4 linked regions of the Drosophila melanogaster genome follow. The protein of the gene in region 3 purifies or fractionates together with the protein of the main gene of each other region. This does not show direct contact. Each region holds a gene or a part of one and is shown on either strand. Other genes may lie near its edges.

Region 1 (3,578 bases), on a different chromosome or scaffold from region 3:
GCTTGTCTGTGAGATTAATGTAGATGCTGTGATACGGGATCTGCTTGGCGTCCAGGACCAGATGCACCCGTTGGGCAAATGGGCAGAAGCGCATCGAGTACAGGCGAAGGATACCATCTTCGGGAACATCCGGCATGGGTGAGCCTAGTGGGCGCATTTATTATCAATTATGATTATCCTGGTTTCCTGGCTCTACCCACCTTTTGCCAAATGCCTGCCGTTACTCATGATGTGCGTGCTCGGGTCCAGAGATGCAAGTGGTGATAGCGATTGTCATTCGAGTGATTTATAAAGTGCAGCTCACTGCCCTTCGCCGGTTGGCTTCGCTTACGCGGCTGAACTTGGTGGCTTGCGGCTGACACACATACCAAGCCATGTGGATACAGTGAAGCCCCCTTGCAACCTGCATATTGCTCCAAAATATTTGTTTAAAACAAAACTTTTTAAGAACTAAGTTTTTCGAACCACGTTCTGTGAATCTGGAACGGAATTCTTGCCTTTCTAGCCTTAATTCATTTCTTTGTCACATAAAATATTTTAGTTTTTATTGTTTTTAGAACATTATTAAATCTCCTTTGTTATATAATAGTTTCATTTTCAGTACCGATCTAAGCCAGCAGATCGTAGTTTGCATTGCCGGCCTTGCGGGTGCGCCAGAACTCGTTGTGCTGCTCGGGAGTGGCATAGAAGGACTGCACCACCGAGTCCGCCTTCAGGAGGGCAATCCACTTGGTGATCTTCGGGAAACGACTCTCGTTGAAGTTGTACTCCTTCTGCAACTTCAACTCGATTACAGAGAGGCGTTCGAACCAGGGCCAGATCATGTAGTCCACGAATCCCGGCTTGTTGCCGCCAAAATATGGGGTGCCCCGCTTGGTCAACTCCTCCTCAAAGATATCAAGTGCCGTCCAGTAATCCTCCAGACCGGTGCCCTGCACAAGGATGTTTATGAAGGCACTGGTGATGCTGCTGAAACGTTCCAGCAGAATCTTGTCCTGTGCCCGCTTCAATGGGTCCTTGGGCAGCAACGGATTCTCCGGGTACTTATCGTCCAGATACTCGGCAATAATCAGCGACTCGATGAGCGAGGGCTCACCCTTCTCCGCCACCAGCTGCAGGGCAGGCACCTTAAGCAACGGACTCACTTCCACCAGCCACTCTGGTTTCTCGGTGAGATTGATGTAGACACTGTGATAGGGCACATTCTTGGCGTTCAGGACGAGATGAGCCCGCTGAGCGTAGGGACAGAACCTCATGGAGTACAGGCGAAGGACTCCATCGTCAGGGAGTACAGGCTTGGGGGAACCTAAAGATAGAATTTATTTACCAGTTAAATTTAGGTTATACAAATAAATCAATAACTTCATGAGTCACTTGTGGAACCCTAAAATCCACCCCTGTATTATTATTTGTTTAGCAAGTCATTGCACTTAAGTTAATGTTGATAGGGCCCAGTCGTGATAAAGCTCAAATTTTGTAGCTACGTTATCTTTTAGAGTGTAAATATTATGGGTTATCTGATATCGGGGTGAAAGCTATAGCTAAAAATGTAAGTAAATTTTACAAATCAAATAATTAATTTAATGCATTACCTACAATTGTAAAAGAATAAAGATCGTATTGAAATTTACCAAATAATATACCTTTCTAACTTTTTAACCAAAAAATCCCAGTTATTCATGCCAATATTCTTTAACATTATGAAATATAAAAATCGTTATTCGATAATTACGCTGAATGTTGGAGAACTTGTTTTATAAATAATACTATAAACACTCTAATGACATGGGCGTTTCTCTTGGCGGCGGCGACAACTGGTTTTGCTTGCTCTCTTACCTTTGGCCAAATGTTTACCAGAACTCATTTTGTTTAATTGCAGAACTGAACAAATTCGCTTAACTGTTGAAATGTCGACGGTGAAATGCGAACTGAGTTTTCTCTTCGACGGCGCTCTGTTTATATAAAGTTTTTTGTTTGTGTTTTAACGCGAATAAGAATAATCGAGCTTTTTGCGACGTGACTCTTAGTTTTCGTTAGCTTTTAAAAACGATTTCTCATCGCAGACGTTTATTTCGATTTAAAACGCTTTACTACATTTGCGATTTGTTTTGTGGGAAGAGACAATCATTTCCTCCGCATTATACATAGTACATCTACTTAGTTTGTTAATAATCACGCCTGTTTGTAAATATAGATATATTTTGTTTTTACATGGTTTGGGGGGAGCTTTATTTTTGTTTTTAATTGAACCTCGGAACTACTACGTACATTTAGAGTTTTAAGTTTATGAACTTTTCGTAAAAAGTTTCGATCGGCGGACTTTCGAAATCAAACTTAATCTATGTACAAAAAAGTTCTCGAAATTTCCGTTCATGCCTTACAAAAAATACAAAAAAGTATTAATACATATACAACAGAGTTGCTGACATCATTGAGTCGCGATAAATAGTTGTTATCAGTAATTGCATTCGAAAAACCAAATTGGAAAGTAATAAATAATGACAACTACACTTGCTGCTGGAATTAATTGTTTATCAAAATGTAAAAAGATCCTTTCGCTGCTTTTGGTCCTACAAATGGGATTTCTTTTGATGCATCCTTTTGAAAACTCAAGTGGATGATTAATTTTTAGTTTTTAATTCATTTTAAAAATGTCCGCAAATGGTAAACATTAAAATTTAATGATTAAACTGTATCGTTTTTTTTCCCGAATCAATTGCGCGTTGTTGTTACGGTAAATACATGGGATAAATAGCTAAAACTAAGTAAATACGTACACTTAAAAAAATTCTACACACTGGAGTTAAATGTTGCTTTGCTTTCGTTTCTGAATTTCTTGCTTTGTCTTGTTTTGCATCGTTGCCTGACGATTTCCATTCTAAGTTTCGTTTATAGTTTCGTTAATTTTTTTTTGTTCGCAATTTGTATTTTGTTTGTTGCTCTATAAAATATGCAAACTGGTTGCATTTTGATCACGGTTCTTGCTGTTGCATATAAACATCCATCTCACTTTTGATTATTGGAACGACTTGAGATTTTTGAAAATGAATGAAGAATATGGCTGTTTTCAAATTTATCCATGGGCATCCGGTTTCGAATCCTTCAGCTTCATTCGCCAATGGTCCAATGGTTCTTTGAAGTTGATCCCTATGGCTGGCCTTAGCCATTCGGTGAGGTGGATGCTCCAGGAGATGTGGTTGTGGCCACTGCATCGCTGTTGCTCATCTTGTGCAGCATGAGGGAGTGCGTCGATCTGGTGGCGGTGGAGCTGGGATACTTTGGCTGCATTTGGCTGTTGGACACTGTGGAAGAGCTGCTGGTCGCCGGCGGTGGCGGTGGCTGCTGGCTGCAAGTGAACAGAGTTCATCAGTGTGCTTTTGCTAGCCCTTAGGACACACACCCCTTCTGCTCGCCATCCTTCTTGCTGTTGAACATGGCCAACTCGATCTCCGTGTGCTGGCTGTTCATGTGGCGCACCCACTCCGCCGGCGTATCAAAGGATCTGCACATGGGAAAGGGAGTTAGTATATATTTTGCTTCTATAACTCCAAACACTTACGTGGAACACAAATCGCAGA
Region 2 (3,042 bases), on a different chromosome or scaffold from region 3:
CGTATACCATGCCAAACATCCAGTGGACAAAAAGTGAGGTGCCCGGAGCAGCCTTAAAACTCTCTTTACGATCCTTGAGGCTGGCATCTAGTAGGGGCAACGAACAAATGTCCAGCCACCAGCCGCAAATCAGCGGGAGTACTCCGATCTCCAACACCGACAGCAGCGACACCTTGACCACAATATAGCACAATCCAATGAACCAGCAGACTCTCCGCAGGCGGAAAACTCTGGAGAAGAAGTGCAGCACCACCAGGGTCAATCCAATGCAGCAGTAACCAAATAGCGTGGTAATCAGGCCGTGAAAGTGTAGCAGTGGTTTCTCGGGCTGCAAAAGATCCATGGAGCTCAGAATGAAGTTGCCCACGCAGTAGGGACAAAAGGCGAAGGTGAAGATGAACATGGTGTTCAGTGAGATGATCCAGAAGACGTGCTCCAGAAAAACTAGCGAGCCATCGAGTCCGAGCAGGCGTTCCCAGGTAAGCTCCTCGGCAGCCCGATCCCACTCCATGGGATTCCAATTCTGCTCATCGGCATCGGCGTCCACGACGGGAGCTGCAGCCGCTGGTGCGGCATCCTGGGCCTGGGCATCCTGCCCATCGTTGTCCGCTGGAGCCGGCGCTTCATTGTCGTCGGCATTGTTGTTGTCGTCCTGAGGCTGTGGAGCTGCCTCGGCGGCGGGATCAGGCGCAGGATTAGCAGCCGCTGCCTGTAGAGGGGCATCGTCCCGCTCCAGCCAATCGGGTCCGCCGCCATGCAGGATCTGCTCGCGCAGCCAGACCAATCCTATGAAGGACAAAAGTGTGCATGTGACCACAAAACAGCCCCGAAAGGCATCCGATGCCAGGTTTTCAACGGAGAAGATGTCAAAGGGCAGCGTGAGAATCATATCGAAGGAGCTCGCCCGGAAGAGGTACCGATAGGTCCTGTAGGCAGACAGCGGCACCACTCCGAACCAGGCCAAACCGACCAGGGTGTAATGAAGCCAGCAGCGAGCGCCCTCCAAAACGGCGGACATCAGTCCCACAAGGACATCCTTTATCGGCAGGACTCGCGGCATATCCGGAGCATAGATGGGCTGAAAGCTGAAGCTGTAGCTGCACAGCTCGCAGTATTCCTTGTGCGAGTAGCGCATCCATAACATCAGGCAGTCCTGATGAATGTACTTGATCGATCCAGTGCAGATGCACGGGTAGAAAAGAGGCCTATCCGGCTGTGCCTCGCATCTGCACACGCGGCAAATGTCGCCCTGCGACAGGTCGTCCATACTGATAACTTTTTCCCGGATCCTGGGTCTTCAGTTTGACTGAATTACTAAAGTTCCACTGGTCATTTGCGAAATTCGCTGGACAATTTCCGTAATTGACCCGAGGGTACGGGGGTTTTAAGACGATTATACCCGCCTTTTATGTGCGCCAATTAACCTTTCGATGATTACGGACCGTAATGCGATTGTAACACTTGAATTTTAACCGAAAAGTTGGGATATTATTACGACAAAACAAAACAAGACTACTTCTCAAAAAAAGGAGAGCCAATGTGTGCACACCATGAAATTGCTGATTATTTTCTCAACGGAGATGCCAACTAGTTCGATAGATTGAGAGAACGAAATATCGTTATTCATTTTTTAATCATAAATTGAAAATTAAAAAAGATTACATAGTTATGGTTAATAAATATAAGTTTTTAACTTAAATAATATAAAACAAAATTATCATGACCGGGAAGTAACAGTTAATGAAACAGTGTGTGCACACATCATTAGGCAATACCAATCCATCTGGCAACCCCACCACACTCATTGTTGTTGTTCTGATTCTCTTGTCATTATTTTGCAATCAATCGCTGAACTTTTTGCACTGAGAAATTGTAGAAAATAAGCCATGCAGCGACAGATTATTAACATTCTGGGACAGACGACGCGTCGCCTGGCTAGCGGCCAGCAAATTCGCATGCTGTCAGTTTCTGCGCCGCGACAGGAGATCTTCAAAGTCCAGAGCGCCGAGGACTTTGACAAGAAAGTAAAGAACAGCCAGCAGCCCGTGATTGTGGACTTCTTCGCAACGTAATTTTTATATTTTCAATTTGAGGACATGGCAAATTAATGTTTATATTGTAATCCACCAGCTGGTGCAATCCCTGCAAGCTGCTAACCCCGCGCATCGAGAGTATTGTGGGCGAACAGGCCGGTTCCATCAAGCTGGCCAAGGTGGACATAGATGAGCACAGCGAACTGGCTCTGGACTACGATGTGGCCGCCGTGCCCGTGCTAGTGGTGCTGCAGAACGGCAAGGAGGTGCAGCGCATGGTGGGACTCCAGGACGAGGACAAAATCCGGGCCTGGGTTGCCGCCGCCGTCAAACAGGCCAAGTAATAATTGAGAAATCCCAAAAAAAAAGTGGAGGTTGACCTCCTCGCAAATAAAGCTGAGCTTTAGGTTAATTCGGACTTTCGAAATAAATGTTTATTTACCCGTTGAAACGAAAAGTACTACGATTACACACTAAAAACTAAATGGAAAACCAGCCCGGCGTGCCGGGTCGCTTCTTGTTCCTGTCCAGAAATCTGCGGAAACCGGCTTTCGATTCATCCAGCGACTTTTCCTCCTTGGCCTGCTTCTCAGCCTTTTCGGAAAAGAAGTCGGGGAAGACAAAGGACTCCTCCCTGGGCTGGAATACACAAATATCATTGGAAATATCCATTGAATCAGGGGCTTGTAGTGGGCCATACCAATGTTACATAAGCCAGCTTCACGTCGTCTTTTTTGGTGATGTAGCCGTAGGTCTGATCCTTCTTGGTCTCGCCCATGGCAATCCGAGTACGCACATCCACCACCGGCAGCTTGTAGATCTTCTCCAGATAGTTACGCACATCGTACTTGGTCATTTCCATGGACACCGAAAAAGTGACCACATTGGGTGGCTGTTCCTCCGTGGGTCGGATTAGCTTCATCCAGAAGTTGGGAAGGAAAACGCGAAGCTGCGGATTGCCGCGCTGATAGATGGGATACCACCTCGTGGACATGATCTAGCCAGGATC
Region 3 (3,970 bases):
TCATTAATGTATACACAGCGATTGTGGGGTCTGTGAAAGGGGTACAATTGCACATATGTACGTCTTCATATATATGTACATATACGATTCCCCACATTTGAACGATATGAGATCGTCTCTTCAGTTCTTGGTTTCTCTCGCTCTAAACAAAAGATTGGGGGACGTGAAGTCTAAGGATTGGCAGACATATGCATTTCTAGACAATGTTGTTGCATTTGAGTGCATTCGCTAATTGTAAAAGTTGCCAATTCATCAGCGTCTGAGATCTGAAAAATTATGCTATATATAATTAGTTACTAGAGGGCTGGTTTCGGGCTTTCACCTCTATATACATGGGATAGTATAGTATGGTATGTATATAGTAATCAATATTTAGTCCAAGGGTTGTGAAAGGAAACTTTCTATAAAGAACAGGATACTTGATCGAAAGATGAGCCAGTGGCACTTATTTAAGTATCAATCGACCCGATTAACTTCTGCAGAGACAGTCATGCACCTGTTCATTCAATCATATACAATTAGTTCCCAGCAGGCCCAAACAAACTGAATAAATATACAAATGAACTCGTCTGTGTGTTCTTTAATTTGTCGCAAGTGTGCAAATCAGAAAAATGTGACGAACCGAGCGTTGTTTATCAACAACAAAGAGAAAAAACAGACAGAACATGGGCAATCTAAATCGAGAACGGCACAACATACAAAGGCAAACAAATTGGCGAAGAAGGCACAAACCGGTTGCCACTAAGGGAAGTCAGAGCCAAAAGAAAGCGATGGAACCAAAACCGGTTCATTGAACCTGCACACCACCGGCATCATGGTATAGACACACAGAACGATTCCAGCTCTTTATCACACAAAAAATCATTCTTTATTTATGCCATTTCTGTTTTTAGTTGAGCACAATTACTTGCTTACGGAACGAAATGTAAATAAACATGGCGAGCTATGGTAAATGCAAATGTCTGGAAAAATCGATTATGCGTTTATGCTTAGTTCAAATCGGTTATGTTGCTGATGGATGACATGCTCCCCAAACACTTTAGTCGGTGGCATCGGCCTTGGCCACGGAGAAGGCCTCCGAAACGGGCAGGGTGCCGCTGTTGGCGATGACCACATCCTTGACGGGACGGTCGCGGGCATCAGTGGCCGAGTTCTCGATCTGGCGCACCACATTCATGCCCGACAGGATCTTGCCGAAGACGACGTGGCGTCCATCCAGCCAGCTGGTCTGCTTGGTGGTGATGAAGAACTGCGATCCGTTGGTGTCCTTGCCAGCGTTGGCCATGCTCAGCCAGCCGGCGCCATAGTGCTTCAGCTTGAAGTTCTCATCCTCGAAGCGCTCGCCGTAGATGGAGCGACCGCCGGTGCCGTCGCCCTTGGTGAAGTCACCGCCCTGGATCATGAAGTCCTTGATGATGCGGTGGAACTTGCTGCCCTTGTAGCTGCGGGGTATAAGAGCGTTGCATGATGGTCAGTTTTGTCAGCATGGGAATTTAAATTTAAAAAAAAACTGGGTTTAGAACTCGAAACCTAACCAAAAAAGAACATGCATACTTATAAATTCAGAGAAGAAAAAAGAAATACCCAAGAACTGCACTTTTATAGTATGGTAGACTTAATAACAGTTGGCGTTCTTTGTTAACCCATTAGTGCCGCTTTGTCAACTGATGTATGCGATTGGCCGCTCAAACGCCACGTAATTGCTTCAATCTGAGAGCCCCGCTATAACCTACAAAGTGCCGCTGATTAGCGGCATCTTTTGCTGGCCTAGCGGTACCTGGCACCCTACTATGTTGGGGTATTTTCGGTACTCAAGTACCCTACTCACCCCTCGCCCTGCGGCTTCAGCGCCAGCTCCTTGAAGTTCTCCACCGTCTTGGGCACCGTCTTGCCGAACAGACCGATCTCGATGCGACCAGCGGGCTCGCCGCCAATGGTGATGTCAAAGAAAACCTACGCAATCGGAAGCGGTTTATTATTAACAAGTCATCTCACTTGATTTATGGCGCAGCAAATGTGTGTGTGTGTTTGTGTGTGTATGTACGTGGTGTATGCAGAATGTAAGGACGAAAGTCCAAGGAGCACGCACCTTCTCGGTCACTTTGGGACCCTTGCTATCGTCGGCAACAACGACGCCGGCCACCAGGGCTACCACGAAAACGGATAAGAACAGCTTCATCGTTCTAAATATTCACAGCGCTTCAGTTTATTCCTCAAGCGACGTCGCCAATGGATATTTCACGACTGAATTTTCGGTTTCTGTTAGTGATGTAAGAAAACTTTGTTGCATCGCCAATCGATGTTTTCCATCGTTTTTTATGTTTTTGTCGAAATATCGATGCTTAAGTGTGACCATTCGATGACGATGTCTGATGATCACACATTCGGGCGGAAAATTCAAATTCAAATAGTTAATACGCCGAAAGCATAAGTTAAGGTTTTCGTACGAAGGAACAAAGTAAGTTCGAAGAGTTGACTTTATTGGTATAGTTTTTAATATTTTAGGGATTAGAAGTCCAGTTTGCATTAGCACGTAGCATTCTCTCTTGTTTTATTGACGGTTCTGTACACAAAAAGTAAGTAAAAAAATATGCTTTTATTTATTGGTGTACTGCTATTTGCGTCTGAGATTTGTCCATATCCTTGGCTGCCTTCTCTGCTCTCTTCTTCTCCCTGCTGGCCAGAACTTTCTCCCTGGATTTCTGGGCCCTTTCAGCGCAATCCTTGGGTCGTGTCTTCAGGGTCATATCATCCACGGCCGCCTGTTTACGGGCTGATCTCGAAATGCATCGTTCCATGCAGCTGATGGGCACAAATCTTCCAATGAAGCAACCGCAGTGTGAACAATAGTGATTGATGTCCTGGCGGCCAGACCATTTTTTACTGAAATAAAGTGAACATTACGAAAGATTTATAAAGCTTCATGCAGATGGCCAACCAAAGTTTTGTGAATCCCAGAAATCTCTGCAGGCAAGTGACCAACTCCAGTTGCACCAAACTGGTTCCAGACTTCTCACACGAAGGACAACGGATCCAGGTGGGCTCCTCCTTCAGGTATCCCACTTGTGGCTTGTGGCTGACAATGATGGCCACAATCTGCGGTTCGTCCACGGTCATGATGCGAGTTCCAGCGAGAACGATCGGTGACTGAAAGATGGATCAAATTTGGAGAGATCATGGGAGGGAAAATCAAAATCAGAATCACTCTCCCGATTTCTCTTAACCGAGGCGTTGGTCTGGTAATTAAGTTAGTGCATGGAAATCAAATGAGTTATTCTCTCTGCGTTACAAATGCCATTGGATGTACAGTGTAAAAAGTATAGTGTACATTTTGAGCATTACACATTAAATAGTAAACTTTTATTCGTTTCAAACAGCAGTATATTTATTATTATTATTGAATATAAATTAAATGACAAAACTGATCTACATTTGTTCATTGTGTTATAATAATTCGGATCCGATGATCCTTCTTCAGTGGGTATCTAAAGTTGTGGACGGCGGTATACGCCCAGGTACTCCCCGCAGGCACCGCAGTGATGCCTCTTGGTGCAGCAACGCAGCCAGGAACGCACCACACGGGTCTTGGCCTTGGTCCTGCAATAAGGACACGTAATGTCGTTGGGGCCGGGGCCCACGGCAAAGTAAAGTGGTTTCGGATCCTGAGCCATTTCGCACCGAAAGATGTTGACTGCTTTAAAAACAAACGCAGACTGAGGCTAGCGAAGAGAAATTGTAGGAATAAAATGTTCAAATGATATGCAAAGAGAAAAAAATCGGCCCAAAAAAGAGAAAATGTGATATTTTTGGCTTTATTTTTGTTTCGATGGTATTGCAGTAGTGGGTGGGAAATTGAGTGTTTAGAAGAATTTTAATAAATATGTGAACAATGCTGCCTAGGCGGTGGTTGCCTTCAATTTGAGTGGTTGCCTCCTCTTCATGGAACGTCCAAAGTAACAGCCGCAATTGC
Region 4 (6,726 bases), on a different chromosome or scaffold from region 3:
ATCCTGGAAAATCGCACCCTTAAAGGACCCCAAAAAACATACGAATGCCCCAGGCCATTTACCGAAAACACAAATGATTTGTTTTTCTTAAATTACACCATTTTTCTGCTGGCAACTATAGCAATTTCCGAAAAAGTAACTTGCTTATTCATGCAGGTTTTCGCGACTCTGAAGACAAATGTGCGTTGGAATATAAAATGCGGTTATTATTATTTTCTGTTCTGAAGCGGCGATTGTTGGGCAACATGCTGCTAATGTCTGGCGCAACAAGAGGCTGGCCACTTGTTGCTGGTTGCGAATGTAAACAGAGAAGTGTGTTTCACAAATTCTCTCTTTTGTACACCTTGAAAAATATTTGGTGACCGTTCACAGGGCGGATGAGTAATACTCGCTCTGCTGGCCACAATTTATGACGTTTGCCCCTTGGCAATGTAAGCTGATAAGCATTATAAAGTGTGAAGTCAACTTATCTTTGGCTACGGAGAAATCTGTGCACACACTGCCACTATAATTTATGGGATACCCATATCATGGAAAAAGAATTCGCTCACTTAGGCATTTATTTTAAAATATGTATCCTTTATTCTTTATTGCTCTTCGGTTGCATTCAATCAGCTTTCGCATATATGGTATGTTGTACACAAAAAATACACAGAGATATATAGTTAGAATAATGTGGATTTAAGTAACTCCATGTTGCACAAACTTCAAATGCATAATAAAGCATCAGCTTTAGTTGCATTTAACAGTTCGTGTTGCACGATTTTAATCGGTTTCTTTTTAGTTTTGAGGCGACTTGTTCTTACAATAAACTATTCCATTCTTCAATTTGAAATACACAGCGAAATGCAAACAACTTTCTTAAAGTTAATTACTCAATTGTTAATCTGTTTGAAAATGTATGTTAAACATAGGCAATGGCATTAAGAACCAAACGACTGACTGTCTGACTGACTGGTTGGCTGACTGACTGACTGACTGGCCTAGTGACTTGACTTGGTTTTGACTTGACTCTCATTGAGGAGGACTTAGGCGAAAAATGCTCTTCATCTGCACACATTCCAATTGCAAATAGGGTATCAAAAATACTTATCATGGCTTTACATTACACTTTAGTTACAAAAATATTTAAAATTTAATACCGTTAACAAAAATACTTGACGATCAATTACACTTTTGGAAAAATTCGCTTACACTTTTGGAACAAAACTAAACTCATTTACAAGGCATGTTTGAGGGAAAACAAAAAGCGTATGATGTATGTTGTAAGTTGTGTGTCGTGTGTGTTTGTTGTGTGCTGTTCGGTGTGCCAATTAGGCCCAGTCCTTTTTGATCTCAAAGGTCCAGTCCCACTCCAGGTGTATGTGCTTGTCGTCATCCGTGAAGACCGAACTGACCGAGTAGGTGCCGCGGGAGAATGTGCCTGAAGGTGCCTCCTCGGCGGGCGTCAAATAGAACTGAATCTCCTTCTTCGGCGGATAGGAGCCAACCATATGCTTCATCTTGTCAACTATGGAGTAATGCGAAAACAGTCAGTTTAGTAAGGATACACATTTGCGGATGGGCTGCACCAGCTTACCCACAACTTAAAAAATTATACATTCCGAAATTAGGGTTTGGCATTGGAGATAATGGAATACAAGTTATTCTCAACACATGACTAAAGTTAGTATGGCAATTGTGAAAAAAAGGATATAGGCAGCACTGCAAAATCCCACCAGTATGGTTGTGCCATTGAACCAGCTTTTACCCATTGCTAGAAACAAAACTCGACTAGCCCGCACAAAAGTCAATCAAAAACTGAGGTGTAATACTAACGATTTCGCGTCAGCACGGAAAATTGAAGACCTAGAAGTGCTCGCATAGTGTAACGTATGGAAAATAACTAAAAACAAGTATCTTTTGACCCGGTTTTAATTTAATTTTATTCTTACAATACTAGGGCACTAGGTCAGTAAATAAATAAATCAATTAATAGAAAATTAGGGTAGGACAAAAAAGAAATATAATTGCTTTGCCCTAAGTAAAGACATATAATGTTGATAGAATTGAGAGTGTAAATCTATTCTATATTCTGCCAATTAAAAATACAAATGTCATGTTTAAATACTCACCATTAACACCCAAGCGAGAAGTCTTTTGAACATACTTAAGGCCATGGACTATTTCACGCTGCACAATAAAATCAATGCGCACCTTGTACTGAACACCTTCTTTGATCACAAAAAGCTGTCGCAATAGGGTTTTGATTAACAAAAGTAGTCGAATGGATGATGATGGTTAATGATATTTACCTGCTTTTTCAGCTGACTAAGGTCACCGGTAAGATCCAATTCCATGTCGTCGCGTCCTTCGACAACGAGGGCCAGTTTCTTTACAATAACTTTTCGGGGATCATTGGGTTCTGGGTAAAAATGTTATTGCTTTAGTATATTCTGCACCCTCCACTTTCAGAGGCCAAGTTAACCGCCCCTTACCAACAATAATTTTCTCGGTCTGGGCGGCACCCAGGAGCGCCTCCTTGTAGCGCCGCAAGCTCTCATCCTCCTGATCGGCGGCCATTATTTCCTCGATGGTCTTCTCCGGCGGCGCCTGGTAGTTGGCATCGTGGACATCGTCGTCGTGGTGCTCGGGATGGTGCTTCGTCTCTGTTTCGGCCATGATTGCTAACCTAGAACTGTCCAAAGGCAATTGTTTGTTTATCAATCAATTACATTTAAATATTGCTTCGGATTTTGCTTAGTATGCGTCGGTTTCTCTGGGTGAAGCTTGTGGGTCATAGGCATATTTTTAGTAGTGTGAGTAACATTTTGACGATAATGATGTTGTTTTATACACATATGTATATGCCTCCATTTTAATGGCATGTGCGCCACCATATCTGCTACATCGTATCGGAGTGTATGAAAGTATTCCTCATTCAAAAAATGTAGGAAGAGTGTTTTTTCTTCTGAAAATTGTCGCCCTAAGGAGAGTTGAGCTCATAACTTAACAATGCAGGGAAGAAATTCGAAAAAAAAACCTGCCATCTAAATATATAGTTGAGTAGTTAGTACATTTGTTTCTACAAATTACAATGTTAAATATTGAAATTCAAATAACAACGATCGCAAACATATTCCATATACTTCGCTACTGATTACGTTATCATTCGCTGGCCATAAAGCGGGTTTATTTACTTTTTTGGCAACACGAGTGCCTCCGTTGCGAACAAATGTAGCCACTTCATAAGCCCGTTCAATAATATTGATTAAATTTCAATTATTAACGCATTGATGAACTGACGTGTTCTCTGTCTAGGGGGCGGGGCAGAGAGGGGCGCTCGACCTGCAGCTGGTCCGCTCGCAAAGTAAAAAAAAAGGTTCAACCAAATACGGAGCGGCAGTTAGATAAGGCAGGCGAACTCGACGGAGGGAGAGAGAGCGGATATCGGCATTGAATAATATTGACCAGAACTGGGAACTGGCGACAAAAAGCCAAACCCACCGCCCCCCGGAAAATGGCTTTATTGTTATCTTGCTTTGTTTTCCACTATCTAAATACACGTCGCCAGCTCTCTGTCCATTTTCAACGAATGTTGTTGGGCCAATAATAATTCTCGATTCTCCAGATTTGGCTTTATATATATGTACATACATATGCAGTGTACCCGGGCAAAAAAAATACATGAAATTGAATTGTTATTACTTGACATCGAGTTGTTGTTGAGGTAATAAAATTGTGTCTATACAAAACGATTTTGCAGGCCCATGTGTACATACAGTAGTAATAATGATGTATTTCTCAATTTTATACAAAACATATTTTGAAATTCTCAAAGCTAATAAATATTTATCTATCTATCTATCTGTTTTTTACTTGTAAATGTAAATATTATTGGTGCTTAAAAATCAATAGTTTGAATCTTAGTATCGGTTTTTAGATCTCATCGTAATATTTCCAAATTAGGCATATGAAAAGCACTCACAATTTCTCTCCGTGCTTGTGTGGGAATGGCAAAAAATAATAAACAAAAAATTTTCGGACTAACAACGCAAGTTTGGGCCAATAAATACAATCGCAACAATTAAGGATGGGTGAGAAAAGGTAATTTCAAGAACAATCTGACCGAACTGAAAATTTGAATTCCAAACAAATGTGCCAGCGTCGAAGGAAGTGCAAGCGAGAGGGCTTGCCAGAGAGAGAGAGAGAGAGAGAGAGAGAGAGGACCCCCCGCCAAAGACAAAGTGTGGGGATAATTCAGGGAAAAGTACGAACCATGCCACTTTTTTTTCTTCTCTTTTTTTGATAAAGAAATGTGCACGAAGAATGTTAAAACCCCAGACGAATGAATCACACACACCAGCTCACACACACACACACTCACACTGAGGCCGGCACATGAATCGTCACTGATTTTCAAGTAGAATTTTTGGGAGTGGTTCTTGGCCTGCAGTCACCCAACTACATACATTTGCTATCAATGCCAGCTTGTATTAAATTAATATAATAATATTATAAATATTTTTTTTATGTAAAATGCATTGGAAGGCACCGCACTCACACACACACACAGTTGCAAGTTGGCAACGACGCGCACTCACCTTTTAATATGCGAAATTAATCAAATAGTACGATCTCTGAAAATTAATCACTGAAAAGTAACTGTATGTTATATTTTTAACAACTTTTGATAACTAACTTTTAAACAAAGCAAATAATATAAAATAAGAATTACAAGTGTGAACGTATGCTTTGGTGGACAGAATACCAAAACGCGAGATGGACTTGAAGAAGTCATCCGTTCACACTGCTGTCCAAAAATACTTGCTTTTCGAAAAAGTTTTTAGTTTTGAAACAGCTTCCCCTAAATCTATTTTATACTTTGTAAGTATGGGTTTAAAAAGAAATTATTAATTAGTTTAACGAATCTTGCTGAAATGCAATTTCTAATAAGAATCGCTGTTTGGTCATTGTCTGCAACAGTCTGGCAACGCCGACAAACAGCTGCTTGTTACTTCATCGGCGATTTCGGTGTGCAAGTTGAAAAACACAATTTACTCCGTTAATTTACAATGACATCCCAGTACCTGAGCCAGCTAATAACGGCCGACAAATTGTCCGCCGAGCCCTGGCCCGAAGACGCCACCCTCTACCAGGTAAGGTCCTGGTTTATAGGTCCAGAATCTTCACTAACATTAACCTTTCATTAATGTGCATTAAAAAAAACAGCCGTATGAAGCGGAACAGATCCTACTGCCGGAAAACGCCAGTTGCCTTGCTGTGAAGGCTTACCTGAAGATGTGCAACCTCCCCTTTTTGATTCGGTCCTGTGCCAACGCGGAGCACATGTCGCCGGGCGGCAGGATGACCAAGTTGCCCTTCATCCGCGCAGGAGCATTCATCTTTGCCGAATTCGAGCCGATCGTGAACTTTGTGGAGCAGAAGGAACTGGCCATTGGCAGCTGGCAGGACGAGGACGAGAAGGCCGACATGCGCACCTATGTGTCGCTGGTGGAGAACATCTTCACCATGGCTGAGCTGTACATTAGCTTCAAGAACGAACGCGTCTACAAAGAGGTCACAGCGCCCAGGAACGGAGTCGTTTTTCCCTGGCCCCTCAATCACATGCAGAACTATGGAAAGCGGCGGAACGCGCTGCGTCTGTTGAAGGTCTATCAGTGGGACGACCTGGACATCGATAGCGTCATTGACAAGGTGGCCAAGTGCTGTGAGACGCTCGAATACAAGCTGAAAGAGTCGCCGGAAACGCCATTCTTCTACGGCGATCAGCCCTGCGAACTGGACGCCATCGCCTTCGGCCACCTCTTCAGCATTCTGACCACCACGCTGCCGAACATGGCGCTGGCCCAAACGGTGCAGAAGTTCCAGCACTTGGTCGAGTTCTGTCGCTTCGTCGATGAGAAGTACTTTCAGACGAGGTGCCTACCAAATTAGTTATACGTAGTCGTTGCCTTAAATGCTTATCAATTAAGTTGCTCTTGTCCTTTCTTTTTAACCGCTTATATATGCAATTCTAAATGCCCTTAAAACAAATCGTCGCCGTAAGTCACAATTATTTTGCTACTAGCATTTAAAAAAAAAAGTTGTTCTAGTGATTTTGCTGCCATTAATGTCCAAAAATCCATGTGAATATCATTTGCACAAGTGACTCAATCTGCAAGTTTGTTTAAATGGAATTCTAAAATACTTCTAACGATCTTTACTTCATTTATTTTGCAGCAAATAACTTTTCTGCTAATAAAATTGTGTAAGTATTTGCTATAATACATCAAATAAATTGTTTTCTTAGCAAACCAAAAAAAAAAATAGTCTTGATTTTTGAACATTGCTGCCTTTTCCTTTTCATACTTTTGAAGAAATTGAACTCTCGTTTATGTAAAGACCTTAAATACACATATAGTTTTATTGATTTATTGTTATAATTAATTTAGATTATTATTATGAATGCAATGTACACATCTTTGCATGCAGATGGCCGAACCAATCGCGCCACTTGTGATATTTGCTAACGCAATCATACAAAACAATCAGATGATTCTCGAAAATAAAAGCTTAACAATTTGTCCAGGTTTAGCAGTTGGTCCATTAGCAGTTGGCCCAGTAGAAGTCTTAGTTTCCAGCCTGATTCACTGCCGGTCCGGATAGTTCGTCGTTGCCTGCCGCCGGAGCAGCGCCAGCTTGCGGTGGTACTGGTGGTGCAAACACATGGGCCATCTGCGGCGG

What was found.
Region 1: the proteins of CG2852 (region 3) and GstO3 purify together in Drosophila melanogaster (affinity purification with mass spectrometry, with the first as the bait; one large-scale study listed by BioGRID). This does not show direct contact.
Region 2: the proteins of CG2852 (region 3) and CG8993 purify together in Drosophila melanogaster (affinity purification with mass spectrometry, with the first as the bait; one large-scale study listed by BioGRID). This does not show direct contact.
Region 4: the proteins of CG2852 (region 3) and RhoGDI purify together in Drosophila melanogaster (affinity purification with mass spectrometry, with the first as the bait; one large-scale study listed by BioGRID). This does not show direct contact.

The regions. Positions count from the first base shown.
Region 1 is NT_037436.4:8,517,240-8,520,817, reverse strand, and holds GstO3 (glutathione S transferase O3), read right to left. Parts: upstream 1,934-3,578; 5' UTR 1,865-1,933; coding exon 1,837-1,864; intron 1,307-1,836; coding exon 609-1,306; 3' UTR 523-608; downstream 1-522. Other genes in the region: se (sepia), read right to left, coding at 1-144, 201-228; CG6765 (uncharacterized protein), read right to left, coding at 3,160-3,346, 3,401-3,502, 3,560-3,578.
Region 2 is NT_037436.4:2,370,396-2,373,437, forward strand, and holds CG8993 (uncharacterized protein), read left to right. Parts: upstream 1-1,803; 5' UTR 1,804-1,886; coding exon 1,887-2,068; intron 2,069-2,130; coding exon 2,131-2,377; 3' UTR 2,378-2,481; downstream 2,482-3,042. Other genes in the region: CG1317 (uncharacterized protein), read right to left, coding at 1-1,267; mRpL23 (mitochondrial ribosomal protein L23), read right to left, coding at 2,514-2,672, 2,734-3,027.
Region 3 is NT_033778.4:22,644,093-22,648,062, forward strand, and holds CG2852 (uncharacterized protein), read right to left. Parts: upstream 2,253-3,970; 5' UTR 2,180-2,252; coding exon 2,090-2,179; intron 1,954-2,089; coding exon 1,829-1,953; intron 1,443-1,828; coding exon 1,040-1,442; 3' UTR 554-1,039; downstream 1-553. Other genes in the region: CG30195 (uncharacterized protein), read right to left, coding at 2,601-2,883, 2,939-3,117; CG34446 (uncharacterized protein), read right to left, coding at 3,486-3,671; CG34445 (uncharacterized protein), read right to left, coding at 3,897-3,970.
Region 4 is NT_037436.4:19,926,766-19,933,491, reverse strand, and holds RhoGDI (RhoGDI), read right to left. Parts: upstream 4,750-6,726; 5' UTR 4,584-4,749; intron 2,678-4,583; 5' UTR 2,662-2,677; coding exon 2,478-2,661; intron 2,405-2,477; coding exon 2,295-2,404; intron 2,230-2,294; coding exon 2,115-2,229; intron 1,802-2,114; exon of another isoform or gene 1,755-1,801; coding exon of another isoform or gene 1,650-1,754; exon of another isoform or gene 1,580-1,649; intron 1,511-1,579; coding exon 1,314-1,510; 3' UTR 562-1,313; downstream 1-561. Other genes in the region: CG46462 (uncharacterized protein), read right to left, coding at 1,650-1,754; CG8004 (uncharacterized protein), read left to right, coding at 5,055-5,138, 5,212-5,937; Grasp65, read right to left, coding at 6,613-6,726.